2 linked regions of the Styela clava genome follow. The main gene of each other region encodes a partner of the protein of the gene in region 2 in a complex. Links are inferred from orthologs where the notes say so. Each region holds a gene or a part of one and is shown on either strand. Other genes may lie near its edges. The genes, in order: V-type proton ATPase subunit D-like and V-type proton ATPase catalytic subunit A-like.

What was found.
Region 1: the proteins of V-type proton ATPase catalytic subunit A-like (region 2) and V-type proton ATPase subunit D-like are in contact, whole or in part, in a cryo-EM structure (PDB 9B8P), measured with the Rattus norvegicus proteins. The link is inferred for Styela clava from reciprocal best matches to the Homo sapiens genes ATP6V1A and ATP6V1D. Residues at the interface, in NP_001101788.1 of Rattus norvegicus: Ala366, Met368, Pro369, Ala370, Asp371, Ser372, Asp416, Ser418, Asp436, Lys438, Glu491, Gln494, Leu495, Val496; in NP_955418.1 of Rattus norvegicus: Lys4, Asp5, Arg6, Arg167, Ala171, Val175, Ile176, Arg179, Tyr186, Glu190, Arg194, Glu197, Tyr200, Arg201, Lys204, Ile205, Lys208.

Annotation. Positions count from the first base shown.
Region 1 is NC_135255.1:8,109,785-8,126,362, forward strand, and holds V-type proton ATPase subunit D-like, read right to left. Parts: upstream 8,634-16,578; 5' UTR 8,516-8,633; coding exon 8,475-8,515; intron 7,613-8,474; coding exon 7,495-7,612; intron 7,138-7,494; coding exon 6,990-7,137; intron 6,919-6,989; coding exon 6,770-6,918; intron 6,399-6,769; coding exon 6,332-6,398; intron 5,890-6,331; coding exon 5,642-5,889; 3' UTR 5,183-5,641; downstream 1-5,182. UniProt on the Homo sapiens protein: Subunit of the V1 complex of vacuolar(H+)-ATPase (V-ATPase), a multisubunit enzyme composed of a peripheral complex (V1) that hydrolyzes ATP and a membrane integral complex (V0) that translocates protons.
Region 2 is NC_135253.1:4,232,555-4,249,629, reverse strand, and holds the start of V-type proton ATPase catalytic subunit A-like, read right to left. Parts: upstream 8,505-17,075; 5' UTR 8,383-8,504; coding exon 8,301-8,382; intron 8,087-8,300; coding exon 7,958-8,086; intron 7,609-7,957; coding exon 7,534-7,608; intron 6,360-7,533; coding exon 6,220-6,359; intron 5,554-6,219; coding exon 5,416-5,553; intron 5,031-5,415; coding exon 4,879-5,030; intron 4,462-4,878; coding exon 4,299-4,461; intron 3,865-4,298; coding exon 3,756-3,864; intron 3,521-3,755; coding exon 3,451-3,520; intron 2,980-3,450; coding exon 2,812-2,979; intron 2,495-2,811; coding exon 2,345-2,494; intron 1,693-2,344; coding exon 1,575-1,692; intron 1,131-1,574; coding exon 1,036-1,130; intron 1-1,035. Other genes in the region: neuferricin-like, read left to right, coding at 9,800-10,163, 10,519-10,659, 10,885-11,071, 11,177-11,381; intraflagellar transport protein 57 homolog, read right to left, coding at 11,761-11,850, 11,939-12,036, 12,486-12,615, 14,259-14,390, 14,819-14,913, 15,292-15,379, 15,566-15,734, 15,812-15,930 and 2 more. UniProt on the Homo sapiens protein: Catalytic subunit of the V1 complex of vacuolar(H+)-ATPase (V-ATPase), a multisubunit enzyme composed of a peripheral complex (V1) that hydrolyzes ATP and a membrane integral complex (V0) that translocates protons.

The sequences.
Region 1 (16,578 bases), on a different chromosome or scaffold from region 2:
GCCTAAGACTTACCACCTTCGACCCTCTGTCCGCCCTCCCTCAACTTGCTCACCTTCGACCAACGACGCTATACCCTTCGGTACCTAACCCAACGGCGCTACAATCACGACTCGATCGTCAAAATGAACTCCAGCATCTTGCGACCAACTTCCATGTGTTATACTGGTCAAGTATGCCAATGAGATGATCCAATCGTACATCGACAAAACATGATTGACGGCATTCGTAAATGTAGACTGGAATCTCAATTGGTAATCAATAACCATAATTAGTGGCTTAAAAATGTGCTACTAATTAGGCTACTGATGGCATCGGGTTCGGAGTCACTGTTTTTAAAATTTTAACAGCTCATTCAATATCGACATATCTGAGTTCCTTTTCAGTAACTCATTCAATGTCGCCTGTATTTCCATGCAAGGCAAAACGATGAGAAAGTAATCAAATATGTGCACGCTTGGTCTTTTTCAACGTATGTTCTGCCATATCCTGTTCTATATACATTTTTTTTTACGTGACTGAGAAGGCTGAAAAGTCAAAAATATAAGTCGCTCAGTGAGTGTAATCTAGGGTTGCCATACCGTCCGGAAAATTAATTTTGCGACACGCGTAGGCTAAATTATGTTATAACCTAACAAGTATATAATTCACAATTGCGCGTTTAATGACCCTATAATTTAATTATAATTACACAAATGGCAACAAAACGCAGAAAAGTTGATGCTTAGCGCAAATGGTTTAATGGTGCAGAAAATATTCAAATGGTCAGTCTTCGTGCGCTGCTCTTAATTTACCTTCTGATCTGTGTGAAAAAGTGTGATTCATCGGGTATTCGTTCGGTTTTCAACATACTAAAAATATGAGGCTCGCCAATGACTTGCAACCTTTGGTTTTGGCCCGCGAGCGACAAAAGTTTGCCGACCTCTGATGTAAAGCCTTGCCTGGCCCTGGAACATCTGATTAGTAAACGGGTTGATGTGGACGATGATAAATGCTTTGACCAAGTCTGTAACTTGAAGCAGTTTGTGGAAAGTTACCTACAAGACGAAGAATTTATTGAACTGCCAACGCATAAGAGATGGTGCAAATATTTCGATCAGTCTACGAACATCACATGCCACTCCGAAATTTTAAGGATTGAACTGTTTTTCTTTGCTGTTACATCCCACAATGCCAATATTGTAGAGAGAGTCATTTCACTGATGCAAAGTCAGTGGACTAAAGAGAGAAACAAGTTGCGACTATAAAAGGCATGTTGACTCTCCAATATAATTTCAAAGATATGCACTGTAGTGAATTGTTTTCATTTTTGAAATCAGACAAGGAGAGAATGAGATCTTCAGAAAAATATGCATGGTCAGAAGAGTAAATTTGTAGTGATTGTCTTTAATTTGTTTTAAGCACGTAATTGCTGTTCTTCCGTTTCGGCACAATCTAATTCTCATTCTTATTTTTCACTCTGAAGTTGAGATTTTTTCAGTCGACGGCCCGTAGCTATATTTAGAGTGTGCTTACCTGCCTGGTGTGAGATTCTGCTTGTGACTGAAGACAATACTTTTCATTTCGGTAGCTGGCGCTTTAGCATGAGTATCGTACAAGTTTGCAGCCTTAGCATTTCGGTAGCGCATATATATGGTCTCATGAAAATAGGGACCTCCTGAAAGAAGTATGTGCACCAAGATGGCGCACAACCTGAACATAGTTTTTGTGTACCGGTTAGGACTAAGGTTGTGCGACATAGTCATGCACTGTCCGGAATTCTGCTTTTTCAAATATGGTAACCCTATTTGCTAACCCCTCCAAATGATTTTTAAGCCATGAAATGTTTTGTCGTAGCTAGCGTTTCCAACTGCACTTTAATTCAGCGTATAGTCCCAAAAATGAGCTTATCTTATCTGCAACTTAATGAGGTTGCAAAGGACGCAGTTCGTACGTCATCTTTGGCAACGTTTTTACTATAAAATGTTGAAGAAAAATACTTTACACGGACCAGAGCACTATTGTTTATTTCGGATCAGCATCATATTGTCACAAGACTCACGACATGGCCAATTATTAAAGACATAAAACGGCTTGGTTAAATTTAGAAAACTGTCATTCCCAACAAGAAACCATCAATAGCCCAATTAGTAACACATTTTTAAACTGCCAATTATGGTTATTGTTTACCATTTGATATTCCAGCCTACATATACGAAAGCCGTCAATCATGTTTTGTCGACGTACGATTGAATCATTTCATTGGCATACACGACCAGTATAACCCATGGAAGTTGGTCGCAAGATAGTTAAGTTCAATGTGGCGATCGGGTCGTAAATAAAGCGCCGTTAGGTCAGGTACTGAATAGTATAGCAGCGTAGGTCAAAAATAGTTAACTTGTGGCAGATAGGGCGGTGTGTCGAGGATAGGTAAGTTGAGGGAGATAGCGCAGTGGGTCGAGAAGAGAACGGTTTAGGGAGGTAGAGTGGTGGTTCGAGGATGGGTCAGTGGGTCGAGGATAGGAAAGTTGGGCAGATAGGAAAATAGCGTAGTGGGTCGAGAATAGGGAGGTTGGGGGAGATAAGGCAGTAGGTCGAGGACAGTTTTCAAGTAAACGAATAGATCGCGGAGGCCCCAAGCCCTATTAAGGTGGTTGAAAGCTGGTCGAAAAATATCACTATTAGAGTGGAATTTTCTCCAAACTTTTTGTAACCATAAAATAATTTGCCGCGTCATCATAAACGTAATTCATATGCGTGTTTTCGTACTCTACTTTCATAAAATCGAATGCCATAAAAAGTCCTTGATAGAAGTGCTGCATAAGTGAAGCCCAAAACTACACCATCACCAACAGAAGCTTATCAGACTTGTTTCAGTTCCTTATAGATACAAACATTGATTAAATATCTGTGACCCACGCTCCTCTCTTCCTCGAAAAAAATATAATTTTTGACCCATTCATTGAAAAAGGTTCGCCATCCCTGATATAGTATATAAATTGAACGCTTGTGTGTTCATAAACGTACTGTATACTTTAGCATTCGATACTTTCTTGCTCGAAATAACGCAATATTTTTGTCTGTAGCCTATTGTGTAGTTTTCCGATGCGTCGCGTATTATGTATGGAGCACCAGTACGAAATATGAAATGCTTTTAAATTCGTTAAAAATACCACAGACAAAGCTCTTTTTTTTACGCGGGGAAAAAGACACAAGAAACATGCTATGTGTGTATTTTATAATGTGTCACTACATCCTTTGTGGTGTAACACGCAAAAAGAACAAAAACATGTCCATATCGCTTCATTTAAGGTGGGCAATAGCGGGCAAGGGCGATCTCAAAGGGCAAGGAACGATAGCGCACCAGCGCTATGGACGTTTCCCCGACCATTCACCCCGGAAAAAATACTCTTATACGTTACTATTGCAAACTATATGCTTATTCTGAGAGTGTTTTGGTATGTTGGCGCACATAAACTGGTTTACGTGTTTGGAACCATAATTTTTATTAAAATTAATCAACGATGTGCCGTTTGCAGGTACTAATTAATATAGCTCAGTTTTTTGAAACACAACTGAAAACTGACAAATATCACTCAAAACTACAAAAATGAGGCAATATTTGCAACCATGCTTGAATATCTGTTTGAGCGACAGAAATGTCTGAGCGGCTGAGTGCAGAAATTGCAATCGTTACGTGTTGCGTCATTAATGACTAATTGCCGATTAGTTATAGTTACGGAAATAAACAAGGAAACTGATGCTTGGGGAAACATCCATAAACGCTGTTCAGCGAATACTTACAGTAAGGAAGATAAAGAGTTGCCGGCATATTATTTTAGCCAACTGAAATGTTAATCGTTGCAATAATTCAAATCTGCTCGCGTACCACTTAAAAAGTTCCCGCGTACCACTAGTGGCACGCGTACCACAGGTTGAGAACCACTGGACTGATGGACTCGATTCAAATCAAAAGCTGAACATGCTTGATCATGTATCCCACACACCATAATGTTGGTACAATGTTTCTTCTTTTGAAATTCGAGTGATGGAAATGTTACAAAACAAATTAGTAGGCTACATTCTCATATTTTTCCAGATATGTTGTAACTTGATTGTTGACTTATTAATTAAATACCGCGGCGGTGTGGCTCGTCGCGCTTAGCGTTAGTAACACGCTCGGCACCGCACCTCTGATTACCCTGCGTGGTTTCGCAGGTTCGAATCCCATGCGGGAATAATTATGTGCGAGAGAATTGCTAGACTCCTCGCCGCCGTAAGGTGGTTCACGTAACTGCTGGTCGGTTACGGCTTCCTCCACCATCAAGCCTATGCTTCCGAAAACAAATAACTAATTAAGCACATACCCCACATGGAATGGTAACCGGAAGTGAGGCCGTGGTTCGCCATATGGTTAAGCCGTATTATCGGCTTTCCTCTCCTCCGGGATAAATATGTAAATCCTAAGCGTTAACACGAACGTTTCGGACCATGTTGCAATGACCAACTAAGTTTCGTCAGTCATGTTGATTCATTTCATCTGACTGATACAAAGCAATTTGAAATGGACCAATCTCCAACTGTACTTGGTGAATTCAAACTCATTTGGGAATTGCAAGAAAACAATTGATGACCTCTTCCATTTATTTTTGGGGCACAAGTTAACCGAAAATCCGGCATTTTTTGTGGATAAAAAAAGAGTGTCTTTAGGTTATTTTTGTTCCGCCGAACGATTAAATCATCGCTATAGAAACCAGAGAAGGGGAAATACAAACGAGGCAAATTGCATAAAAAGGGCAGGATTTACGAAAACGGTTGCAAGTGATTGATCGACGATTGTGCACAACCTTCACGCAAGACGCAAATGCGGGGTAAAAATAGCAACCAAACAGCATATAAATATTTAGCGCTGCGCTGATTAGTTTTTCTATTCGATGGTACGTTAATAACAAAATTACAGTTATAAACAAAAATCCTCTTAATCCACCCATATGTGTAGAAACAGATGAGATCTTGATTCAACTTCAATACCTATGACGTTTCCTAAAGTACAAAATAGACCAAATTCCCTGACATTCCGCCATATACATATATAATGTGGATGGCCCGCAACAAGGATACATAATCAGTTGACCACCGGAGGCACCAGCATTTTCACTATCCCCCCAAAAGGCCATACACAAAAACATGCTGCACTTAGTAGAATATGTGCTCTAATCTTGAATTTTATTTTGAACAAGATTTTTGCAATATTGCACAAAGACTGAATCCGAAAAGACACTACTATTGGCGTAATGAAATTTGACGACAGATGAATATATATATATATACACACATATATATTCTTTCCACATCACAAAAGTAGTTGGTCCCCATATGGTAGAATCTTCACCTGTGGACAATTAGCTAGATTACATTAATAAGTTTAATTGACAATAGATTGGATAATAGGCCCGTGACACATCAATCACATTAATATGAAATCTCACAATCAATCAAAAGTATATATATTGACAAACACAATTCACATAAACTTAATCTGCAGAAAAAAGATAGATCAAAACGGAAAAAGATGCTTCCTTGGTGTGAGGTCCTAGCCATGAAGCACCACCAAGGAAAGCAATCACTCCAACCTTCATAATATACTTTTGAAATCCAATACAACTATTTGAAAAGCAAATCCTCATCTTCATTATCATCCAGCATATTTTTGGATTCTGTGTAACTATCAACCTCATCATTTCCAGCAAGCCATAAAGCTTCCCTTTCAGCTCTTCGAGCAATGTCTTCTTTTTCTTTAGCAACAGCCTTCTTTTGCTGAATTTTTTTAAGTCTGTAAAATTCTTCACGATCTCCTTCATCCAATTCACTAATGATATATGCTATAGTGTTTTCAATTCGTGGAATAATAACTGAAAAGGATGAAAAAATCTGTTAATCCTAATTCACAAAAAGTGAATAATTACATTTACAGGAAGGTACAATTTTGCATGTTGGATGCGAGTCTATCTCCAACTCCCAGGAGGTCATTTGGATAATTTTCTAGCAAGAACATAACTTTTGTGCAAAGCGACCTATACAACTTAAACTTATTTTTTTTCATTCTCATAGAAGTGATTTAGAAATTTATGGGTTCTGTTATTTTGGGAGTCACTCTGTATATTAAACATCAGCAACATTCAGACAGTCGAATTAGATAAGCGAACACATCCCTTTCAACAAAATCCTTATGAATATTGATTTCCATTCAATAAAAAGATGTTAAAAGTCATCGATCTTAAAGCCAGACTTTTTTGTGGCTAAATCAACAACCATTTTAAATTGTCTTGTTTTTAATTTACTCAATCATCTTACCATATTCAATAGCATTTACTCTTCTATTAGTAATCTTGATTGCAGTATCCAAAGTAACGAAGGATGTCTAAAAAGTTTGATAAAGAAGTTTATGAAGGCTATTTTGTTACCCAATTCTGGTTTTATTGACAAAAGCTTCCTATCCATCCAACAATTATCAGGACCATTTTTAGTGGCAAATACAAAATTCCAACAAACCTGCCGTACATTAAAATTATATTACAATTGCATATTGCAGACTAACTCAATTCTATCTAATCTAAATTGAACTATTTTACAGAAGATTCCCAACAAATGTTACAAAAAGAAAAATGAACTTTTTTGGTCCACAACAACTTCAAACAGCATTACCGTAATTTTAAATCTGTAGACACGACAAAGCACAAAATAATTGAATGCCAGTCCATATTTTACACTGTCAGTCATTGAATATCATACCTGCAAAGATGCCAGATCAACCAATAAATGAATTGCCTTTGCATATTTCTTTTTTAACCTTGATAATTGTTCACCACCCCTCGATAATCCTGTCAGTTCATAGCTGTCAGTTCCATCTTCATAATGCTCAAACACTGGTATATTTACACCTGTAATTACGAATGTTTATTATAAGTTTTTTATTATCAGTAATTTGGTTATATCTTATTTGATCTTTTACCTGCAACATTTTCTTTCTTTGTTCGAACTTTGATTTGTGCCTTGCTAACATTTTGTAAAACAACTGTACAAAAATCACCACCAGTAAATTTTGCTTCAGCGAGTGAAAATGAAGCTTCTTTCATAACATCACCCATAAGTTGCTTTGCCTATGATGCATGATACTTAATTAGAAAAATATACATCAGTTCAGAAAATATTTACTAAAATGATAAACTTTACTTCTTTCACTTTGAAAAGATAACAGAATAGATGCAAGTGATTATTGGGGCACTGAATATGCATTTATTATTAAGACAAAATGTTAGTAAATTACCTAGAGTTGAATATCAATATGCGATTGAAAAAGTAAACTTAATATTGATGTAACAAAGTGTTTGGATAAGAATCATTATAAACATAAAAAAATTGTTTTTATGAACATGTTATCGAATTATCTTCAGATTATTTCAGGAATCTTTCACATTTCTGATCACCATGATTTTCTAGGAATATATTTGACTTGCCTCAATAATTTTCTTTAATATGGCACGAAATCGAACTGTCAAGGCATCGGCCTTTTTTTTCAATAAACTGTGACCTTTCTGAGCACCTTTCAACCTCGCTTTCATTATTGTTAGATTCCTGCAAACAGTAAAATATACAAATATACATGAATCAAAGCGGTCAAATACTAGAATTGTGATTAGAATTAGAATGATGATACAATATTTTTAAAAATACTGATAAACCAGTATTTTCTGGTTTACTGATATATAAAAATACTGAGAAAACTTTTTGATTGGTATATCTGTAGCATTATGCCCAAACACCCAGACAGGAAGTTGATAACATGGTGGATGATGAAAAAAAATCTGTAAATCTATTCACATTTTTTAACAATTGTTATTAGCCAAGTACCAACCAAGTCTATTCTTTTACATTTTTTACATCACTTCATGTTAGAAAGTTTTAATTGATGTTTGGGTCATACTCTTATATAACCCAACAATTACAAGATATTTGTTGAGGGTCGCAAACATTTTATATTACTGATTCGACAATAGATTAGGATAGAATTTTACATATTAAGGTTTAGCACCACACTTCTGTATTTTTAACTAGTATGGCACAGTTCTTCGATTCCAAGAGAGAGAGAGATTTATTGTTTTGTCAACCGTAAACGAACAATGGTATACAAAATAATATATATAATATACACAAAGTTAATTCGGTATAAACTGGCCAAGATGTCCTGACATTTAGTTTAATAAAACAAACACTTTATTTGTCTGAAGCAAGGGCATCTGGCATGACGGCAGATGCATCAGATAGCGCCATGCTCGTCTTGATGATAATTTACAATCAATTGTGACTTTCGTAGTCTGTCACATGACCTAAATGGTGCTAAAAACTTTTGAATGCTAAAGCAAAATATTTTCACTTCAAAATTTGATGGAATGAACAGACAAGACAGACCTGGATTCTAAGAACATTCAGGACTTACATGCGAGATGGAAATATAGCAATCCTGTCTCTTGAAGACATCTTTCTTCGATTGTTATCTTCCTACAATCCTATGAAAATGTGCTCACAGTCGGAAAGAAGCACGCAGAATAGCACGACTACAACACCAGTTTGTTGTAAAACAGCAGAAAATATAAACAAAATTATAGGTCACGTGATTATGAGGTCATGTGGTAAAGTTATGACCCGTAAAAACGTTAATTAAAGACACCAATAACACGACAAACTTGGTCCGAAGTGTTCATTGAATGCCATTAACCCCAAAATAAAAATTTTGTCAGTTAGTATATTTTAGCGCTACGACATTATGAATCTCGTGTATCATTTAATATTCGAAGATACACGGATTACCTCAGTCTCTATGCAATATTTTCGTCTATCGACCATGCATATTTTCGCCTTTTCCCTGCCATTATGACACAGGTCTTCAACTCAAATGTATTTTGTGGGCAGAAGGTGATAGTAAGAATATATTGTAGAAATACTATACTACATTGCGTTGTTGATTGTTAGCACTACGGTTTCTTTTACATGCACAAAACGCCTTCGGAATGAATGGATAATTGAGTACAGTATAGGACTATATGTAATCAAAGTTGAAAAAATAACATCCCACTCTGTCCAATAAGCGAATATTAGTCCAACTGATATCACTTATGATCAACTGTAAGAATAATAACAGTATAAACTCCACCTGTGCGATTGTTAATTCTCCGATAACATCCTCCCCATCTCGTCGAATCTATTATACTGTAACTTTGACGGGGGTGGGCGATTCTTCTGAATTGCGGGCCAAATGGCCACATAAGTAAGCTTCGATGTCTTTGTTAGATAATTAATAGCTTTGGTTTCCCGCGGCATCTATTCCGCAGTTGAACTGTTTTTTTTTCTTCTCGAAATTTGTATATATATACCGGTACTTGATTATTTGTTAGTTGAAAAAATAAACTTGACTTGCCCGTGCTCTATAAAAGGCGCACTTTGCATTATAAATTTGCTCTCTTTTGTGTCGAACTAACAACAGGTTTCCTAATTTCAAAAAATGGATGTATGTAACAACGTAAATTACTTTAATATGGCATCTACATTAATCTTACACTTCCGAAACCCCAATAGAACACTATTCGTCCGCTAAGGCGCACATTACCCATTTGCTGTGGTGGTCTAATAATGTATGGCGAACTTTTTATTGAAAGTTACAAAATTAATTGGACAAGAAATGGGCATATGGATCGTTCTGTTATTATGTTGTAAGAATTTTTCTTCGTGTTACCGTAAGAAAAAATCGCTTCTCTCATTGACGACTACTGGACCCATTGTAGGCTAATTTTCGCTGGAAGGCTATTACATTTAGTTATTTTGTCTGTGGCTTCCATGAGATTAATTTTTTGTGCGATGACGTCATTAATATCGAAAATTATACGCATATTATGATCAGGTTGTGCGCCATATTGGTACGGAAATAATATGGTGTAAGAAAATGGGTGATCGGTAGGGCTGCCCCTATCGTTTCCGTTTAGAGCTGTATTCGAATAGCATTTTCCAATTTCGGTTAATCGTAATTTACAGTGTGCAAAACTTGCAACGTCGCCGCGCGATATTTTTCGGTACGTCGGTAAGTGGATGTGTTGAATAAGTGTGTGCTGTGCGCATAATCGCTGCTGGGTACCAGTAACTTTCTTCGATATCAACAGTCGTCGGTGTGAATTCACAATTGAAATAAGCGTTAGGCTTGCACGTACTTAACGGAATTTATTTTCAGTTACGTTGGCAAAATTGGAATTTTCACAGCGCTACTTTTGTTATTAAAATCGCCGATTGTCTTCGTCAGTGTGACGTGTTATTTAGGCCAGTGATTCCCAAAGTGGGCGATATCGCCCCCAGCGGGCGAAAACGATACCGAAGTGGGCGAAAAAGCTGAATGAGGGCAATTTCGCGAAACCTGTATTTGTTCGGCGGCTTGCGCATCATGAACTTGATTAGGGCCTACTGTACTATGCGTGCATTCGCAGGTTTGCATTCCGTGGGCGATAATCACACGCGAGATGATTGCTGGACTCCACTCGCCGTAAGGTAGTTCGCGTAGACCAGGGGTCGGAAACCTACGACCTACGAGTAAAATAATTCGGCACGCGGCGCTCCACTGAATTATAAAGACAAAACGGCGGTTTTGACGGTGAGATAATTTTATAATCTACGCTCGAGGAGTAGACTATATTTTTTACTGTAACAGAATTTATCGTGTGACACGTTTAAAAAAATTATATCATAAGGTAGCAATTTAGTGAATAGCTACTCGTTTAACGATCCTACAATTCAATTATAATTAGACAAATGGCAACACGAAAAGAGTTGATGCTGAGTGCAGGGTTTAAATAGTGCAGGAAATATCCAAATGAAGCTCCTTGAGATACAATGCAATGAGAAAATAAAATTCATAATTCGTTCGGGAGATGCATCACTGCTTAATTTATATAAAAATGTATCTTCTTAAAAAAAATCTCTATCAAAATTTGACAAACCATACGACAAAATTCACTTCGATGTTTGGAAGTATATATGTGTGCAAACAATTATTTTGGAAAATGATCATTAGAAAGGACTAGAAGAGAACTTGGATTAGTGATGCCCATTTAGAAAATTTCCAATTTTGGCTTCATTCAGTGTGATGTCGAAAAAATATCAAGCGTGATGCAGCAACAAGACAGTGTCACATTAAATGTCATTTGTAATTTTATTTCTTTTAATAAGACGACTGAGTTGAGTTCATGAATTGTCGCAGTCCCCGCGTGCTGTTCCGTTTTCAACTTTCAAAACGTATGTGCGGCCCGCCGAGACTTGCAACCCTTAATTTTGGCCCGCGAGCGACAAAAGGTTGCCGACTCCTGGGTAGCAGGTGGTCGGTCGGTTGCCCTACTATCAAGTCCGTGAATCTGTAACAAATAAAGATAAAGGTAGTATGTGAACCAATATGACGGATAGTATAGTGCAGGGTGGTCCAAACCCAGGCCCGCTGCTTCATTTTTTGTGGCCCGCGTCGCATTTGCGCAAGGGTAAACAAAAAATTGAATTTGATGTTGTTTCGTCATAAAAATAACCAGAAACATCTTCTGACATATTGTTACATTACTAATGCCATTGAATTGCCGGGTGTTTTTTTTGCAACCAGCAAGTTTACCTGTTACGTAAAATATTCAATCCGTGACAACTACGAGATTCTAAAATTAAAATATCTGATTTAATTTAATAATTAATTTAATTAATTAATTTAATGTGTCCAACGTAACTCGCGGTTGCTTATTCTTACGTCAGAAAAAAACAAACATTACTATTCGGTCCACGGCGATCTGTGACCTAAAAAAGTACGGGATAAACTGCCTGATGTATTTAATTTTAATACGTATTTTTGCAATCTTTCCAACTCGTTATCGCCGTTAGAAAAATTTCAAATAATGATATAAAATCCTGTTAAGTGTAGAGTATAATTCATTTCATACAATGAATATACATATATATAAGGTTTAGCAGTAAATTAAAAATACATATTCATCGCCGCGAATATGCCACCTGTTAAAAGAGTTGACTTTTACAACAAATAATATAACAACGAATATATATTTTTCTGTTGTGCAAAGAGATGAATTCGTGACCGATACGGGCATATTTAAAATGTCTTGCTTTAATAATTTAATTGTCTTCAATTTAACCTGCGGTTGCGTCGCGGTCATAAAAATAAAAACGTGTGGTAAACTGCCCGATTAAATAATGTTTTGATCCGTATTTTGCGAATTCGGCAAATATTTAGATGTACTTGTTAACAGTAGGCCTGATTACATGTCCATCAAAACCAGTCCAGAGAACCGGTTCGATTCGGAAATGTCAAAGTAGTCTCGGAGACCACTAAGCGCCCTCGATTACATGTCTAAACTAACGAGATCAGAGAACAGTTTTAGAGCTGCCGGACTAAAGAAAATGAGTCGAGATTTGCAAACACTGCATATATTTTTTTTTCAATACAAATGTTAATTAAAGTATCAAAACTATATGCACGTTCTTGATTGAAGTTCTGTGAAGTTATTTGCAGAATAAGATGAGGTGTTGCTTTCCCGTTGAAATTTGCTCATAATCTAAGAACAAAACGTCAAATTAATTAAAGGCATAAAAGGTAGACGAGTTGGATTATTTTGGCCGTCCGTTCAGCGTTCAACGGCACCTTATGTCACACGATCCATTAACAAAAAATTACGGTAGGCCTACAGTTACCAGTAATCTACTGAGAACCAAATTTAAACATTTATAGTTTATCAATCGAACATAATCATAATCATCATATGTAAATAGAAGCACTTTCATTATTTAATATCGCCCTACTACTGCGACGTTACCGACACTGAAGCATTGAATTTGTACCGGTATGTACAGTTAGGTTACCGGTGCCTGCTAAGATGAGGTATGGCTGTATGGTGAAATTCCTCAATGCAAACTGAAGTTTATCAACATAGGTCGTATTGCGCTCAGTTCCTACCAATGATCTTTAGACATTAAAATTTTATTTTCTATTTCAAAACAACAACCCAGCATGCCGCACCGGGATCCCACCAGTACAGGTACCGGTATTTCACATTTGGATTCAACAGCGACCTAATAGATGCGGAAGATGTTTAAATTAAACTTGCACTATCTGGTTAAATTTTTATTTGTTGTAAAAAGCAACTCACTTACCAGAGATGAAAAGGAAAACAACTTTCATACCCCTTCGATCAACGTACGTAACTGCGATAGGCTCGAGTAGCAGGATGAGGCAACTGAGCAAGACCAGTGCAGCTCACTTCCAAACCTCCTCGATAGGTGGTCTGATGTTGTTGACCGATAGCACGGATTTGAATCGCAGACGAATCACTGAAGCGTGAAATAGTTCCCATATGTGGTCTGCTGGCTGCCACTCTGATTATTTTTAGATAAAACCGTTCGAAAAATCCATAAATCTGCTGTAACATCTCAGAGTAAAATTTATTTCATCACAATAAAATTGATTGAATATACTTTAGATTGATTATATTATATATCGGTACATCTTCACAACTAGGGCTGGGCATTTCGAATCGAATAGTAAATTATTCGAATCGGTTTAGAGCAAATTTTCGAATCGCCGCCATCTTGTTTTACTCTTTCTGCCAAGGGTCGAGGTAAGTTTCTCAATTTTTATTTTCATTGAAGCCATATTTTTTCAACACAATTCTGACTTATGACTCTTCTCTGTATTGAGGTATTGATGAAAACGTGTTTTTTATTGTCAGTGATGTATTCTATGTTTTCAGTAATTTATGTGTCTGGAGGACCTAAAATACTAAGAAATTTACATACAATTTCATACCTTCCAAGTATTCGAGATTCGATTCGATTCGAAAAAAATTATTCGATTCGATTCTGAAATCATCAGGTATTCAAAAATGTCCAGCCCTACTCACAACCCGAGAAAAAGTCGCGTTTCAAACCTTGTATCATGTTAACACGAAAATATCTGACGGCAATTTAAAGTAATGGATAATCAGGCAAATCCCGCCCTCAATTCGTGACGATATGTTTCTAAACGCTGACCAAACATAATGTGTGCCAGAGGCACACGAAATTTTGCGGTTTTCACTGCCTAAAAGAGCGTTTTTTAAATTTTCGCGGGCCTCAATAAAACTTATATTGTATACGGTTTTATTTTCAGTATTTTAAATTGCCGCTTTTCAATCAAAAAGTTGCGTTGTCTTTAGAAACTCACCGTCAATGAACGTATTTACCAGATTCCAATTCCGTGCGGGTACAAAAATAAAATAATTGTCATCGTTATCGTGGAACAAATTTGTGGAAAATTTTCGTTTTAGAGAAAATAACACAAACGTAAAGGTGTTTACGGCCTAAATAACACGTTACGCTGATGAGTGATGAAAACAATCACGCGCAAGTTTTTATCGAGAATGTTTTCATTCAATGGGAACGTCTTGAAAGCGGCGTCGAAAATGTGTAACGTCACACAAATATCCGATATTCTTATGAACGCTAATTCCGATATTCGAATAATGAGATATTCGAATACATTCGAATACTTTATTCGAATTGGCCATCCCTGGTTATTACAAGCTTGTGATAATGGCAACAGACTCAGGGTTGTCCAAAACGAATCGAATATCAAAGTATTCGAATACCTTTTCGGCTGATTTTCGAATAATTCCGAATAGTAGCCATTTTTCGCCGTAAACGTGGTGTTTCATTTTACCGGAATCTTCAAACGACTTTTTACGCTGTTCTCGCGTATTGTAATGACGATGAAATAGAGTCGGCACTTCGATTGTTTATATTCTGTGCGACCATACGTCGCATAGTGTTGCGACACATTTGCATGGGTGGACATTGCCGACATTCGTCTACGAGTTAATTTACAAATTCATTCCCATTAGTCGAAAAATTGACAATCACAGTATTTCCCGGCTAATAAGTCGTTTTTCTAGGCCCAATTTTTCGACCTGATTTTTTTTTCGTCTAATTGAGAAAGTATGTTTATATTATTTCTATGTGGCCTGCTTATTATTTGCATGAGTCTTCTCAGGCATGATTTGTGTAACCTTATATTTGGGTATTAGGGTCTGCCAATCATGATATTTAATCGCAGGCCGGTTATCGTTACTTTAAAGAGAAACACCGCCACCGAGATAAAATGATTTGTGACCCTTTCATTTTGTCGTTTCAGCAGAAAACGACAGGGACAGGAAAACACAGCTGTGAAATAACCCGTGCACGTACAGTGTAGTACTTCCAAAATTATTTCAACATTCGGGTTAATAGGTTGTCCAAAATAATTTCCGCTTCACAACTTAAATTTACCGCTTTATTGTTAAAAAATAGTTAATTCTGTGAGTATGATTCTACCAAACTAACATGATGCCATTTGCCATGTAGACTTATTAGCCGGGAAATACGGTATTTTTAGCCGTAATTGTTACGATATCCAATAAATTGTCACAAGTTAGAAAAACAAGTCGATTTATTAGAAAATAATTTCTGCAAATAATCATGATAACGAAAATTAAAAGTATCGATCCTTCACCAGGATGATATTTTGTTGCGCAAAATAATCCAATCCATGACTGGTACCAGCATTGAAAAAATGTCATGCCTTATTAATTTAATTCTGTTCAACGTAACTCATTGTCACAAATCGGAAAAATAACTCGTACTTTATCCCGCTTTTTGGCAAATAATTTGGATAATGATTGGTATTTAAAAGTATGGGCGTTTTACTAGGATGATTTTGTGTTGCGCAAATTATCAAATCTATCACCGATACCACTATTGCCGTATTAATTTAATTCTGTTAACATGACTCATGGTATATAAAATATATATCGCAATAATCTGCAAATATGAAATGCCTGGTAATATAGCTAGGTTGTAGATAGCAGTTATTCCATTGCTCTTTGTATGGAAATTCCTACATACATTTAGATAAGCTTCAATTAGTGGATTTTATTTTCGAAGTATTCGAAATTTCATAATCGAAAATAATAATTTCGAATGTATTCGAAATAGTGAACTATTCGGTATTGGCCATCCCTGACCAACAGTTTCTTTTATTTAATTACCGTAATTCAGAAAAAAACTTTTTTGGTAAATGTTTTATATTATTTCATCGAATCAGTTTGACAGACTTTGTCAAGTCAAGTTTATGGGCAAAATCGAATATTTTTAACGAATACCTGATAGTGGAATAACGAATAATTTTTTTATACACGACATGGGTCCAGAACGTCGGAGGTAGATTCTCCCTTTGGAAATTAATAGAAACATTGAAAAGTCGGCAACGGAGCGTTTTTTACTGAATATTTTCATCATAATCGCCGGATGTTTCTGTCACCGCGATCGTTTCGGCGGCGATATCCTAAAGTTAGTAATATATATTCCAGCCCTTTTTTCATCACCCTGTACCAGCTTTGTACTAATTGTGGGATTTTCGTAAAATTTAACAATGAAGTGGTGAGATTTATATCCATGCCCTACCTAGATCAACATTTGTAGTACTATCAGAATCAACCAACCTT
Region 2 (17,075 bases):
ATAATCAATGATGAAAAGAATGTCATCAGAAAAACTTGGTAAATACTTCCACTTTGGCAATTGTAATTAAACAACAAATCTCATGTTTCTGTTTAAAACTCGATTGAGCTAGTGCAGAATGTCTAGCTGCTTGATAATTTGACTCTTGATTATAAGCGGACCAAATAGCAACATCCAGCTGTCAGAGAAAATCCTTCACTTTTTGCCAAATTTGATTATAATCGAGAATGTAATAAGACCAAACTTCAAGTATTTTTCAATGATTTTTTAGTGCTCGATGATAAATATAAGATGGGCTGGTATGAGCAAATTGGTAACGATATTAGACTGTTTACGCAATTGTTTGTGGACAATTGTCATCTTTTTTAGGGCATCTTTGACAAATCACTCAATAATAAATGAAGGAAAAAAATGTTTTCTTCATGGAATGGTATTAAAATATTGATCTCACAAACACTTCTGGTACATAGTTGTCTACACCAGGAATTGATTGTAAGTGGTTGTGATACACAGACAACACAGTGTTGTAGAATTAGGACTAATTCATCCCAAAGGGAAAAAACAATGGAGCAGACTACGGCTTCTCATCTGGTAATCAGTCCAAGTCTGCTATCAGGCAATAGATGTGATAAAAGAACTTAGATTACGTGAAGCACCCAGAGATAACAAGGACTCGAGGAGATAATATATTTCGCATATGACCTCATTCCCGACACCAGGGTTTTCCAACTGGGGTCCGCGGACCTCTGTGGGTCCGTGATGACTGCACAGGGGTTCCGCAACGACATGAAAAGAATGTCAGCCAGAATTGATAAATAGTGCAGTAAAAAGCAACCTCATCAATCACATTAATGTCGTTTATGTTGTTGTTTTGTAAATGAAACATCATCCTTCCTCGTTGGTTAGGCACAGACATTGATACGGCTCAGTATGGGGGTCTATCAAAACTAAGATTCTCAAATAGGGGTCCACGGCCCAATAAGTTTGGAAAAATTTTGCCCTACACGATTGAATTTAGATATCAATGACACCCACCTGTCATAAGCAGAAAATCCATTTTGTTGCAAAAAATCATCTTTCAACAGTTTGGCAACTTCAAGAGTGATCTTATCAGTCTCTGCTAATGAACTCTGTAGAACGTAAGGACATATTCAACGAAATATAAACAAAAACGATATTTATATATGGAATGAAGCGCTATAACGAGTTTTATTAAAAATTTATAGCAGAGTATACGGTATGGTAACTTAAATAATTCAAAACTTATTTTATTTCTACATTGTTTCAAGAAACTTGTTTCATCTAATCATCTTTTTGTGTCGTGAAGCACAAACCTTTACACTTCAACAGAATATTTACAAATGGAAAACACAAAATTCTTATGCATCATAGATAGAAGATCTCAGTTGAAAACTACATGCCCAGTATTTCACCTTGGATGCAACGCCAAACCAGATGATTCTAGTTCTTCCAAATAGGAGCTACTTACACATAATTTGCTGCTTGTATAATATCCTTGACCAAAGTGAAAACATGGTATATTAAAAGTTTCCATATGACTACCTATAACTTACCTTTCCTACAAGTTGTACGATTTCAGACAAGTCTTCTTCCTCTTGTAAAATTTTTTTAGCCTTCATTCGAAGTTGCACAAAATCCGGAAAATTTTTTTCATAAAATTCTTCTAAAGCTCTGTAAGTAAGAAATCAATTTCTAAAAATAAACATCAATTGATAGTTCGCTAATGAGGTATTAATCCTTCTCTTCTACTTATGCAGACATATAAAGACAATGTAAAAACAGATAAATATAAACTACAATCCCGCAATTTCCTGCTTTAGCATTATGATGATTCAGTTTAATCCATGCAAATATGCCCCAACAACTAATGATATGATATTGTAGCAAAATTTGTCTGGTATAATAAATGAACCATTACCTGTGCTTGGCTAAACTACAAACTAAAACATGTTTTCTACACAAATTTGGCACTTTGAGTACCTTAAATCAATTTATCATCAACATAAGTTCATAATTTAGGATAATAAATTCATATCCACATTAAGGGAGATGAAAGATCAATCATAAGAAATGATGATCTCTGATCTTAATAACTGACCCACAGTTAGGTGAACAACCGTGAGGCAGCAGGTATCCAGCAATCAACTTGTACATAATTATCCCCTGTAGGATTTAAACCTGCAAAACCACGAAGTGTGACTAGTGGTGCAGGCATAGGCATGTTTCTAACTAAGTGGATATAAACTGTAGGTCCTTCAAAAAGCATAAAACTAGGCAAAATGAACAAATAAAACAACAATCGAATTAACATTCATGAGATTACCTGATATATTTGGAGTAACTAATCAGCCAATTCACTGACGGAAAATGTTTTCTTTGTGCCAGCTTTTTATCAAGACCCCAAAATACTTGAACAATACCAAGTGTGGCGGATGTTACGGGATCTGAGAAATCGCCACCAGGAGGAGAAACACTGCAAAAAAGGAAATTGAAAACTCATATACAGTAAATCATAAAAACAGCTGCTGTAAAGACATTTTGCCTTTTTTTCGAATATTGAAAACTAAAGCAACGAAACTAGCAACTAAAGATGCTTCCTAAAGTAGATTGAAATGCAGCTTATAGATATGATCATATCTCATATATATATAGAAAAAAAGCCAATAAGATGTTTTAAACATACACCAAACTGCTGTCTGCTATTCGCCATCTAGACCATTTGAATCATGTCATTTGTAATAAATGAGCTGCTATTTTGATCAACTTTGAAAACTAGTATGAGGTACTTACGCTCCCACAATAGATACACTTCCTTCTCGACCAGGATTTCCAATGCATTTAACTCGACCAGCTCTTTCATAAAAGGAAGCAAGTCTAGCACCGAGATAAGCAGGATAGCCAGAATCTGCAGGCATTTCTGCCAGTCTACCAGATATTTCTCTGAGAGCTTCGGCCCACCTTTTATGCACCAAATAAAATGAAAATTAATCAATGTTGTTACAAGTGAATACCTTTTGATATATGGTTTTTTAAATAATGAAAATTACCCAATCACAGTATTACTCTTTTCTCTACAAATTTTCCACAGCTAATATCCTATTCAATTGTTAGCTGATTAATAGGTAAATATAGTAGTTATCATTATCAATTTGAACAAGCCATGTTGGCATTGCAGGTTCGATCCGTGGTCAATCCAGCAGTTGATGCGAGACCACTTTCGACAACAAGGAATATTAATGCTTTTCTTGGCTGAATAGGTCTCACGAGTCATGAGCTAAGAACCGAAGGATGCATTTAGAATAGACTTTTAGTCAATAAGTTAGATCTACTATCAATCGCAATAACTGGTGATTTTTTTCCTCATATATTCATAATTATGGAGGATGAAAATAAAGAGAAATGTACAATATCACAAAATAAAAAACATACCTAGATGTGGAGTCGGCCATCATAGCAACATTATATCCCATATCTCTGAAATATTCAGACAGTGTGATACCTGTGATAAAAAAATTGTCTCAAACTTGACTGTTTCCAGCACTAAATTAGGCACTCCTGTAGTATGTGGACCAAGATGGCGGACCCGGATCGTGATATGTGTACCCGGTTAGGGTTAGGCCATAATTTTATTCCAATTTTCCTAATTTTAGTTCTATTACGAGTTTGAGGACTAGTCGAATGACTCTACCATCTTGGTGCACATACCACAGGAGTACCTTAAATTAAATACTGACCAGTATATATAGATGATTCTCTAGCGGCAACAGGCATGTTTGATGTGTTAGCAACAAGTGTAGTTCGTTTCATGATAGACTCAGTTTTTCCATCAACTTCAACCGTGAGCTGAAAAATAAAAAATAATATAAAAATAAGCAGAAATGAAAGATAATTTGCAGGAATGGAATTAATACTCTTTTATAGAAATAGACTTCAGAAACACTATATTAAATTATATTAAAAAATACAAATGTTCTCAGATTTGTCTGTCAAACAGTTTCGATGATTAGCAGTGGCCCATCATGCTATGCGAGGAATAAAACTTGTCATCAAACTGTTATTTTCTTTACTTGGATTTGCAGGTTCGAATCCTTCGAGGATGAAGATATGTTTGAATATTACCGCTGTAACAGATGGTCAGGTATGACTTCTTACAAAATCAAAGTCCATGAGTCTGGGAAGATAGCTGAATAGCTAGAATAGTATAATCCATGTTTGGTCATATAATTAATTTATCTGATTGTCTTTCCTTTCCACAAATGAATACAAGAAGAAATTACTTCAGGGAAATCTCTCAATACTTCAGACATTTCGTTTCCTCTCTCACCGCAACCAACATAAATAATAACATCACTGTTTGAAAATTTGGATAAAGATTGTGAAATTACAGTTTTTCCGCAGCCAAAGGCACCTGGAATTGCAGTAGTGCCTCCTTGAACACACCTGTATTGAAAAGAAACAAGAAAAACAAATATTAGAATAAAACATTAGATTTGTTGGTTGGTTGCTTTTACTAAAGCTTCAGTCAACCTAAATTCTTGCATACTTGGTAATTAAAATTGAATACAACAAAAATTCTAGAATAATAAACTATTTCGATATGGCTTATCTATAGTAAACAAGTACAACTAATAAGAATCTAACAATATTCGAAAAAGCCACCAATTGGAATGCATTTATGAAATCTATCTAAAACAAGATCGAATATATATAGTTTCAGTCTATTTTTATATTTATATTTGTTAACCTCACATCTCTATTTACCATCCTGATGAAGTGTGCCTGTATTTAGACATATGTAATTAATGTTCTGTAGTCTGTGCCACATCGTTTGCTGCTTGCCAGTTAATTTAGACTTACGGAAATAAAGCATCCAAAACTCTCTGTCCAGTAAGTAATGGATAATTAGCAGGAAGTTTTTCAGACACTGGTCGAGGTTGACGTACAGGCCATACCTGCATCATTTGGTATTGAGATGTTTTCCCATCAAAATCAACTTCAAGAACGACATCCTGTCAATACGAAAAGTGTGAGTGGCACCAATGAATACTATGGAGCTTCGCTTTTCAGTGAGTATTTGTGATGGTTTGTAATATTATACATCAATATTACGTTACCATACAGATAGTGACAAGTATTGATTTGATTTTTTTCCAAGTTCAAACATTTTATTGTATTTTTATTTAATTACTACCATTAAAACTATAGACTATAATATATTTAATAAATTGTTATGACATTTACATATAGTGAGATATCTAAGCATGACCATGACAAAAATACCTCTAATTCAAGGATAAATTTCATTAGCCGCACAAACTTAATTCATCTTCAGGTTTACTAAAAGCACATTAATGCAATTCGACAGATCAATAAATGCAACTGAAAACCACATACTGTGACATCATATTCCCCTGGTTCTGCAATGTAAGTGACTTTGCCATGACATTTTGGAGGCAACATCAATCTTTGTTGTAAGAGTGAATTTTCTACTACAGTTGCATAAACATCACCTCCTGTTATATGACTGCCGACCTGCAAAATGAGGAAATGAATCAACAATCAAGTTGTCAATACTTTGAAAATGTGTTGTATTGATCCTCCGCACAGTCAATAAATTTAAAGCATAAAAATTTCAAGCTCAAACACACAAGCCTTTGCTTTTACAAATCATGACGAAATATATCATACATCATCCTTCATATAAGTTACTTTCCCAGTAATATTTGAAAATCGAAGTTCCTTCTCAGATAATACAAATAGTATGATAATAGTAGTGACTTACATTCATATTGATATAATTTTCTTTTGTAATATATACTGACTAAAGTATTTAAATTAAAATTGGGTACTCCCGTAGTATGTGAACCAAGATGGCAGACACCAGAACGTAGTATGCATACCAGGTTAGGGTTTAGCCATAATTTCAGGTACAAACACTACGGAAGTCACTTGTTTAGTCCCAAACCCGTAAAGCCGTAATAGAACTAAAATAAGGAAAATTGGAATAAAATTATGGCCCAACCCTAACCTGGTACACATACTACAATCCGGTGTTCGCTATCTTGGTTCACACACTATGGGAGCACCGGAAATTGTATAGATCTGCCTAAGAGCATATCAGAGTGAATAGTCTATTAAAAGCAAAGATTTCTTTTCATATTTTCCACGCTCATTTCAATAAAACGAAATCTGATCTACCTGGATATTTTTCAAAGGAACAAATTCCCATCTTGCTTTACGATCAAGTGCAGTTGCATTGACACCTCTTGGGATATAAATTGAATCTGTTAAATCCTTAATATCTCGCAAAGGTCGTTGAATTCCATCATAAATATTTCCTGAACAACAATAAAAAAAGAAGAATCACAGAACATCCCTCAATAGAAATATCAAGCATTCATGTTTCATCCCCATTTCTAATAGTGATGTACCAATTCAACTTTTCTCACCAATTCCAATCTGAAACTAGTGAAATAACGCCAATATCTATGTCAAATACCGATACATCTCTAATTTCTAATGCCTTTTTGAAAATTCTTGGTTAATAAGAATAATATAGGTAATCAAAAAGGTGTGACATTTCTATAAGCTCTTTGAACACTTGCCCTTCCTTTGAGATCAAAAATCATCTTTTTATTTCTGTAATTCTTTATATCAGGGATGGCGAACCGTTTTCAATGAATGGGTCAAAAATTATATTTTTATCGCGGAACAGAAGGGAGTGGGTCACAACTATTAAACCTATGTTACGAGTACGAAAACACGCATATGAATTACCAAAAACGTTTAGGATGATGCGGCAAACTATTTCGCGGTTCCAAAGAATTTGTAGGTAATTACACTCTGATAGTGTTATATTTTTCAATCAGCTTTCAACCACATTAAGGCACTTTTACACTGCCCGATTGTTAATTTAAATATCTAGATTTTTATTTGAGATCTGAAAGATTTCGTTTTTTCAACGGCATTGTAGGCGAAAAACTAATAAAATTCAAAGTAGCATCTAATTCTCAAATAACCCCTGAAACAGTCTGCAGATGCTGCACTTCCAAAAGAGGCAAGACGTTGCGAGAAATGAACAGATCAATGGCATTGTTATGTCATAAACTATGTCAGAGCTGAATAACGGTTCACATCGGTGCAGACATGCAGTCAAGATTAGTGGTTTTTAAAATTACCATACCGACCTGAAAATTACCAATTTGAATATGAGCGATCGCGGCCTTGCCCAATTGATGGTACATTATAATAGTTATTGTTAGATTAATTTAAGGCCGGTTTTATCAATTTTTATCCCTGATATGTTAGCTTTTTTTTTATTCGTGCCTTGGCGGGTCAGTCACTTTGTGACCAGCGGGTCAGTGGTTCGCCATCCCTGCTTTATATTATAGTACTATGTTCTGTCGTTTTGCTAAGTTGATGCACCACAAATTTACAAATACAAAAATATAGACTCATTCAAACCTCAAAAGAGACAAAAAACTGACTAGTCACTCATACTCATGAACAAACCTAATATTCCAGGACCAAGTTCAACAGACAGTGGCTTCCCAGTTCGTAATACAGGATCTCCAACAGTTACCCCAGCTGAAAAATGAATGTATATATTTCAATAAATTTTTTTGATGATAATGTGCAGGAGAATTGTTCACTTATGGGCGCTACATAAGTATGTGTACCAATTTGGATTTTGTTTGCCCATTTTACATCAAGTTGTGTGAAGGGACTGGAACCTATGGGCAGGGGGATATTCACATGGCTAACGCAGACAGTCCCAGAACTCGTGATAGAACTAAAATAAGGAAAATCTGAATAAAATTATGGCCTAACCCTAACCTGGTACACATACAATGGGAGTACCGACCAATGAAATGAAATTTGTAATACCCAAATAAAAAGTTATTCCTGTTCATGCAATTTGAAATATTTCACTTACACGTATCTTCATATACTTGAATTGTTGCTCTGTCGCCATCAAGTCTGATAATTTCACCAACAAGCTCAGATCGACCAACTCTGACAAGTTCATACATAGCAGAGCCAGACATGTGCTGAGCTATCACAACTGTAAGATAAAGTATAGAATATTAGTAATGTAGTTACAGATTGAAAATATATATGCCATAATGAGAGTAAGACTTATTATTGAAACTCATCTAGTTCGCCAAAACTAAAGTTGTATTAAATATTTCCAGTTCAGATTTCCCAAAACTATTTTCTAAAGCGTTGAGATGAAGATGTACTGATTCTAGACAGTAAAATGTATTAGAGGGGTTTACCTGGACCAGATACCCCAAATACTTTTCCGAGCATTCCTTCTTTTTCAACATCTTTTATTTTGGGGAGTTTGTTAAAATCCATGATTTCCGAATAAAGATTAATAGAGTTGAATCTTTGCACAAAAAGTGTCCACCGCTAAATACACTATATGGTCAGAACCTACGAACAATCGATATTAGAATAAGACTATTAAAAGCAAACGAATAAAAACTGATTATGAAATCAGGAGAGCAAACAACACCTTCAGACCTTACATAAGATTTAAAAAGTTCAGAATATAAGATGGAAGATTTTGCCAAGAAGAAGAGAACCGTACGTGTTCACTCACCTAAACACACATGGAATAAGCTCGCGTTAACATAATGCAGTAATGAACAATAAAGATAACTACAATTTCAATATATTAAACCTCAAAACCCCAATTCTCATCTATTTCAGTATTTGGTAGAGATTTTAATCAAACCACATTCATTACTCTACAGCTCTAGGTCAACCAGCCAACATACCGGTACACTAATATTGTAATATAGCCTACGGTAGTCCACGTAAACATTACTAACGAATAATTTTTGAAAAATAAACGAAGGCAGTGCGAAACTTGGATTGTAGGTATTTCTCACTTCAGCACCATCTCAAGCATCAAGTGCAGTCCCAATCTTTATTTTCTATATAACGTGCGTAGCCAGCTGTTTTACTCGTGCATTTTGCTTAGAATTGCTTTTAAAATCAAATCACCGGCTGTCCGGCACTGATCTTCAGATCTTCGCAACCCTAACGCCACAAGAACAAATTAAATAAGAATGATTTATCGATCACGCATCATTAGCTTCTCACATGCCTGTCACGAGTTTTGACCTCCCGCTGATAAACCAGAGATGTTTCCTTCGAAAGATGAATGTGGTGCAACCAATTGGTTTTTCAAGAATGAAAAATTTGTTACGATCCCACATATATCAAGTCGTTAAACGATGGTTCCATTGATTTATAAAACTAAATAGGTGGATACCAAAAAGTACGACCGTCAGCTTCTGTACCGGTACCGGTACGGTAACTTTGTTGCACGATAAGTGTATTTAGATTTTTAACCGGGGAGTTAGCCGCCGTGACGAGCTGCTCTACACCCTATCCATCTGGAACTTAGGGAACGTTTTTGTTATTACATCGTCAAGCACCTCTCCCATAAACTGATATAGGGTGACTGAAATCGACCCTTGCATAAAAACATGATTTTGCACATCGGTCGGCTGCCTTTTCACCCTCGTAAATGTAAACCACATACGGTACCGGTACCCTAGGCCTAAACCACAATATTATTGGCGTTAATCCTGTTCTCGCAAGTATTACATGATCTCAACAAATCAATTATAGAGAAATGTTAGCTTGAATAAGCGAAGTTTATTCGAGCATGCAAAGTTCATGACGTGCCAACGAAGCTTGAATTTGTGATGTGGTGTCTCAGTAGTCAACTGCGGTAACGTCTAGGCTACCTCTTTGCAGAATGGGTTTCAAGTCTGGAATTTTCGTGCTTGTTTTAGGTGTTGCGATCGGGTATTTTGTTCGAGATTATGGAACAGAAATTGAAGCCGCCAAGGCCTATGTTTTCGAATCGGGCTCAAGATTCATGGATTCTTTCCAACAAAAACAAAATAAACCTGCTGCCAAAAAAAGTGCGCCGGCTTCTGAAAAGTCGTCAATTTCGGAAAAGACCAATGATCGGCTGTTTACAAAAGAAGAGCTATGGAACCACTACCGCGGTGGAAAGGATAGCAAGGGATTGTATCTCGCTATATTAGGAAAAGTTTATGATGTTTCAAAAGGGGCTAAGTTCTATGAACCTGGCGGAGGATATGACTTCTTTGCTGGTATGATCCTCAATTTAGTAATTAATGATTCGTTTCAATTTCTAAGGTACATACTGGTATACTGTTCAAAATAACATACGGATTCTAAGCAAAGACAATAAAACTTTTGATCACATCATTTCATTGTCAAACTTGAAGGTAGAAATTGACCGTCAATCCCAAGTGCAGAAGTGGCACTGAGTCCAGCAACTAACTTGCACATGATCAGTTATTAGGTCGACTAAAACATAATTTTGTTTTGATGATATAAGCGATGATAATTTGAATATTAGACAAGCAGTATATCCAACCTCAGTTGTAGATATTCAATTTGTATTAACAAGTTATTGCTACATGTTGCTTCTTTTGCTTTTAGGTCGAGATGGAACTAAAGCATATAGTACAGGTGATTTCACTGATAAGGGGCTCACTGATGACCTTACTGGGGTAGGCGCTGAACATTTCGGGGAATATGAAAATTGGGTTACATTTTATGAAGAAGATTACACGTATGTTGGTAAGTTGCATAATCCTATTTTAAATATATTGGAATAATGACATGCTACTTTTAGCTAATGGTAACCGCTCTATAAGCTTTGATTTAAATCTAATAAAATGCTCATAGGGCTAACAATGCCAAGTATCATATCCCAAGATTACCAGTATTTACTTACATTCTCTTGCTTTCATTTTTCTTTGTATAACCAATATGTGACCATTTTTTCTATTTTATGCAATTTAGGAAAGCTAATTGGGAATTTTTATGATGCGAATGGACAACCTACTGCAGCATTGAGAGAAGCGCAGAATAAAATGATGGAAGCCAGGAAATTAAAGGCAAAAGAAGAGGAGCATGAAAAGTTGTTTCCAAGGTGTAACTCAGAATGGACGCAAGAGACGGGTTCTAGAGTATGGTGTTCAACGAAAAGGTAATAAAAGTTTCAAAATAGATTACAAAACTAATGTTTAAAAATGTGACTTGAAAACTGTAAAAGCTCAACAATTTCATACTACTAAAATATTTTGTTTTTCAGTGGGGGGATAGAAAGGGACTGGGTTGGGGTACCAAGGATGCTCAAACCGGTTGGAGTAAAGAATGCGTACTGTGTATGTATTCGTGATAGCGGGCCACCTTCATTGGGACACACAGAAGTTGATGACAATAGAGGAAACTTAGATTATCCATACCTACAAGAAATCAAAGGCTGTGATCCAAAATCATTTTCATGCAAAATTTGAATAATGTATCAATTGTTTTTTTTCATAGTTGCAAGTAGCATAGTATGTTTTCTAATTCTGTTGCAATATGTTATACGGTACTACAATATTTGTTTGTTACAGGCTTTCACTACACTCAGCAACAACATGTTATTTATAGTTAACGAGACTGAATATTACAGAAGTGCCTTGGCCCTAGGATTTTCTATTGCAATATGTCTCACTACAGGACTTTTTTTACCTGACACCCAAGAGTAATTAACTTGTCCTGTCTCATATTGAAGCTTGTTTCGATTATTGCACTTTTACACAGTACTGTTATATACACTTTTATTACTTATTTCTAGAAAAATAAATCATGCAATGAAATAAATAATAATATACAATGTTGTAGCAGCATTTAATACATTTTTCCGAATGAATTATACTCTGCAGAACCATCTGGTTGATTCATGTTGCTGTGCATTATAGTTTTGTCTCTCATCCGAGCCTGGAATTACAATTATGAGTTGTTTTTGGTTTAGGTGGTCTAAAAATAGATAACCAGGTTGTTTGTACACATATGAATGGAGACATACCTGCATTAAAATATGTTCAATTACTCCGATTCTTATATCCATTTGTGTAGATTCCGTTTTCAATCTATTGAGTGATTGCTTGATACGGACAAGTGGAGCTAAATGCAATACAGTGTTTCAAACTTATGTTAGGCTACTATACTCGGTACAGCCTTCAACTGACTGACCGGGCCTGATCTTGAACCGCATTTAATTTATTTTGTTACATTAGGCTCGTGAATGTTTCCTCTTATTTTGATTTATAGTTTCAGAGGTTGTTTTATTAGTTTTAAATATTTGGATCACTCTATTCGAAAAGAACTTTGGCGAATTAATAAACGTCTTGGTGGATCGCTTTTTTATTAATAACCTAAATACTGTAAGCACTGAAATAAATTTAGGCGTATTGTGAAATATATTTTCTGAAAAGACCATAACCCAATAATTTTGGGTTTTGTACACAGATCTTTGGTGAAAAATGGTTGAGTAGCCCTGGCCTAAAGTTCGGTATTGTGGACTCATTTCGAGCTTCCATGTCAAGATAGAAAATTGATTTCAAATGTCATACCTCCATCGGTCATGCTGCTTCCTCTATCTTCCATCTCATGTTTAACTTTTTCCAACTCCTCTGTAACTTCCGCTAATGTTCTGGAATGTTGAGTCACTCCTCCACTCCCTTGTCTGTATTTCTCTTTCGTCTGTTTAAAAAAATGAGATCAGCTTACTGCATTATTTTTCAAATCAGTGTGACCCATTGCCCACAATTTCCTGATGACGACTGTGGTTTAAACTTGTTATGTGGAAAATATGAAAAAACATTCAAAGGACAAGATTAGATGAAGTGACAGGATATTATGCTCATATGCAATATTAGCTATGTCTGGTAATTTTTAACCTTTTTGGTGTAAAGAACCCCAATGAAAGATTCCAGTGGCTCTAGGAACCCCTGTGCAATAGTTTTTTCATTTCAATTATTTTGCACAATCATTTCACATTTCGGGGGGGGGGGGGGCTTATAAATGTAATTTTTATTCAAATCTTCTTGCGACACACATCTTACCACCAGATTGCTTTGAGAAACATTTGTCCAGTGTCCCACTGTACTCCACTCGTGGGGCACAATGGGGCATTTTGTCAAAATTCAACGAAGTATGCATTTAAAAATAAACAATTAATCAGCATTCTCATCTAAAGAACAGAATCAATGTTCAACCAAAATATTTCAGATATTGTTAAAAAAAAATCCGTATACAAATTAAATTATTTTCTTTTTCGACTCCAAATCTGGCAATTTTTTGATTCTCGAATATATTACATATTGTACCATGGGTCGAATGATAATATTAGAAAAAATATATAACGCATGTATAGGCCTCTAAGCATTTATTGTATTAAACACTGTCGAATTGTGCCCAGTAGGGCATGCCCCACTGAACCTGAATATTCTCAGACTGTTCCACGGCGAGATTATGAAGGCACATCCACTCGCCAATGTTATGAATATTTTACAGTGGACTGACGCTAAAGAATGTCAGACGATGGTTTGTCGTGTTGGAAAGGATAAACTAAAAAAAGAAAAAACTGGATTGGTGAAATTTTAGTTTCAACCCACCAAAACCAATTTCACCCCATAGCGTGCGTCGCTCTACACGGCTGTTGTCCGTTTGCTGGGACATTGTAACTCTCCTAATGGTGGATTTAAACATCAAACCGCAGACGCGACTCCGGATATAGTACGAGTGTGAGAGCTGATTTTCCACCGAATATACATTGTTTTTGTGTCTTCACATGCTATTTGTCAGTTTTTAGTTGTATTTTTGAAATTTTAAAATAGAAAAATAACCCGATTTTGCAAAATAGTATACTCTCACTTGATAGAACCAAGATTGGAATTATTGCCTGGCAACAACAAAGAAATGTAATTTCTCAGCCTAACGATTAACAAATAACTTTGCTATTGAACACAAAGTCGCCTAGTGAATCGTTTTGCTAAAATTCCTATAGACGTTGTGGTATTTCATAATATTATTTGGAAATATCGTTCTTCTCCACAACTAATATATCCCTAATTTTTAGTCTCAAAAATAATTCAAGTCACTGGGAGACTTTTAAATATACATATTATTACGGGTGCTATGGGAGCGAATATTTAAAATATTTTCAGCAAAGTCGGCGCTGAGTTACACAACTGAAGCTTTGTCATGTCGGCACCGAATCATTGCTCTTGTATTTTGTCAAACTATGCATTTCAGATTGTGTTTGCATAGTTAAAATATATATTTTGGAATGGCCGGACCGTCGTAATTTTAATAGTTGAGTAGCCCTGAGATAGAATATTAACCTGAGCAAGTTGATCCTGTGCGGTCCTGTATTGTTGGACTAGATGTTCCAGTTGATTGTTAATATATTTTTCACGGCTTGAAATTTTTTCGAGTGTTCTTCCAATTTCATCGTGAAGCTTGTCAAGATGAGACTGCAAAAATTATAAAGTTTATAGTCACAAACGAATTTAATATTAATATCACGGACACAAACACAACATGATTTACAAAGAACAAACTAAGAATTATTTCAGCCCTGTAGCAAATATACCATTTTAAAGAAATAATGCAGTGATGTAACATACACAGAGTATTTGAAATTGCGATTACTTAGTCAATGAATCCATGTGATTACCACATTTCTTCAACTGCAATAAGCATAGAGAAGATGCTTTTTTATATAAACCAAGTACATGATCTTTTTTACGCAAATTCAATAACTGGTTCGTTCTACTCTAAAATTGGACATGCTCAACTTTTGATGTTGTTTTGAATATTTAATAATGGGAATTAATTCAAATGATTCTTAACATCCCCAAATTAGAAGAAATCTTCCATCACTTTATATAATATACTGCACCTTTGTCTCTATTAAAGATGATTCAATCCCAACTTTATGATGATGCATTTGATCAACGTGAGTTCTCCAATCCTTGTTGTCTGTTCTGATTGTTACTGGGTGTGCAGAAACACAAATGTAAATTACACAATAATTGTTGAAACTTTCTGACTATATTATTTAACTTTAAAGGATATTGGCATCAGTCTTCATAGTGAAAAAAAGTTGTTAATGAATCGAATATTTGGATACATTCAAAATTAGTTGACATAGTCTCATTTTTACTCAAGCAATAATATAGAAAATCTTATTGAAAAAATCATCATTGTCTCAAAATATGTGTTTGACCCAACAGCTTATTGAGTTATATACTAAGTTGAAAAAATGCATGTTGGGTTCCAATATAAATGTTGCAGTTTGCCAACTCTAATCAGACATTCAGTACCAATATCTTCTTGGTGGCAAATCATAGGTTTATAAAATTCTGACAACACCTTTTAAAGAAGGTGTAACCCTTTCCACTTCCAGTTTCCACTCATCTGCATTTGTGGTAGATTGTAAGATATCCACTTGTTTGTTATCCTAAAATGATTATCATGATTCAAAAAAAACTTAAAATGACTCTGCAAAATATACCATAAAATTAAATATGCAGCAAAATACATATATTATCATGATTTAAGAATTCATTGATGAAGAAGTAATTGATGATCGGATTATCTGCTTATAAATTCAGAATTCCATTCATATACAAATTCAATGTCATACATTCTTGTTGGCAACTTTTAAGTCCATAAAGTGCGTGTCTTCTTCTTCATCTGATGCATCATCACCACCCATTGTAGCCATTTCATCTTCTAGTTTATCCAATTTCAATTCAGCAGCATCCTCTTCTTGTATAACTTCTTCTTCCTGAGCTTCCTCTGGGTAAGATGGGCTGTATAAAATGAGAATGGTTTACCTATGATAGGATACACCTGAATAAATGGAAATTATCTAGATGACAATATTTACCTTCCCCACTGGAAATTACTTGACCTCAATGCTTCTTCAGTCAAACGATCAAGGATATAACAAACATATTCTCCACATCCTTGCTTCAACTTGGATGGTGGAAAATCAATCGCGACTCCCTGAAAATTTTCAAGAAAGAATAAAAAATCACAAATACAATATTTAGTCTCTCCACGATTGAAAATGTTTAATTATGATTTAAAAAATTGTTATACATACCATTCGTTTTACTTCTTCCAATATACTTGATATAGTAGCATTGGGATCATCAAATTCTTGTGGCATGTCAAATGGACGACCAATGATGTTAAGAAGCCAGGCAGAAATTGAAGTGAATGCATGAAACTGTTCACCAGGATTTGTAGGGACCGCAAAATAATGTCTGTGAGCAAACCAAAAGATGTCATAAATAAAAAGAGACAGATGGCTTGTATTCAAAAACTGAAATATGGTTCGAACAGCAAATGTACAATCATTTTTGTGACTGCTGTTAGCATCATTGTAAATATTATACAAAAGTATGTGTGAAGCGAAATTACAAACTGAAATTTTTGACCCACTTTATAAATTGCAATACGAGATTACAATTATCACAATCTTTTATTTTCACCGTCAAAAAACCCTTTGAGTATTGACCAAAGATTTTCTGAAAGTCCCCACCCATTTCATAGCTGATAATACCTTGTTAGAGGTTTCATGTTGTTTGGCCTCATGAAATTTTCCTCAAAATTTAACAATTTCAGCTTATCCAGCAAATCTGACATCACTTCAAATACTTGATATGAAGCACCTGTTAATTGGAATGTAATTAGATAAAATCGAGATTATTCAAATTCAGGATTTTGTACATGGACCCTTAACCAAAAATTTATACCCAACATGACTAATAAAGTAAAGTTACCGTACTACCCACATCTACAGACCGACAAGTAGGAATGTTACAAAACGCACATTTTCGCAATAAAAAATGTACGCATCACTTCTGCTAGGTACCGTTACCGCCATACTTGAGTACCGCATATAAAAACGGCTACGGATTGCCAGCGATAGTTAGTGTTTCCATGAAATTTTGACATAAATTAGATAAAAAACACGACTATGACCTTGTTTTTGAATTTTTCCATTAGCGCAAATATTTCCTATCATGCGAATCTTTTAAAAATACCTTCCAACTTAAACGTGCTACAAATTAATGATCCCGTCTAATGACACCTATAAAATCTATAATGACACGCGTGTCTCTTTCTTAACTTGAAACTTGCCA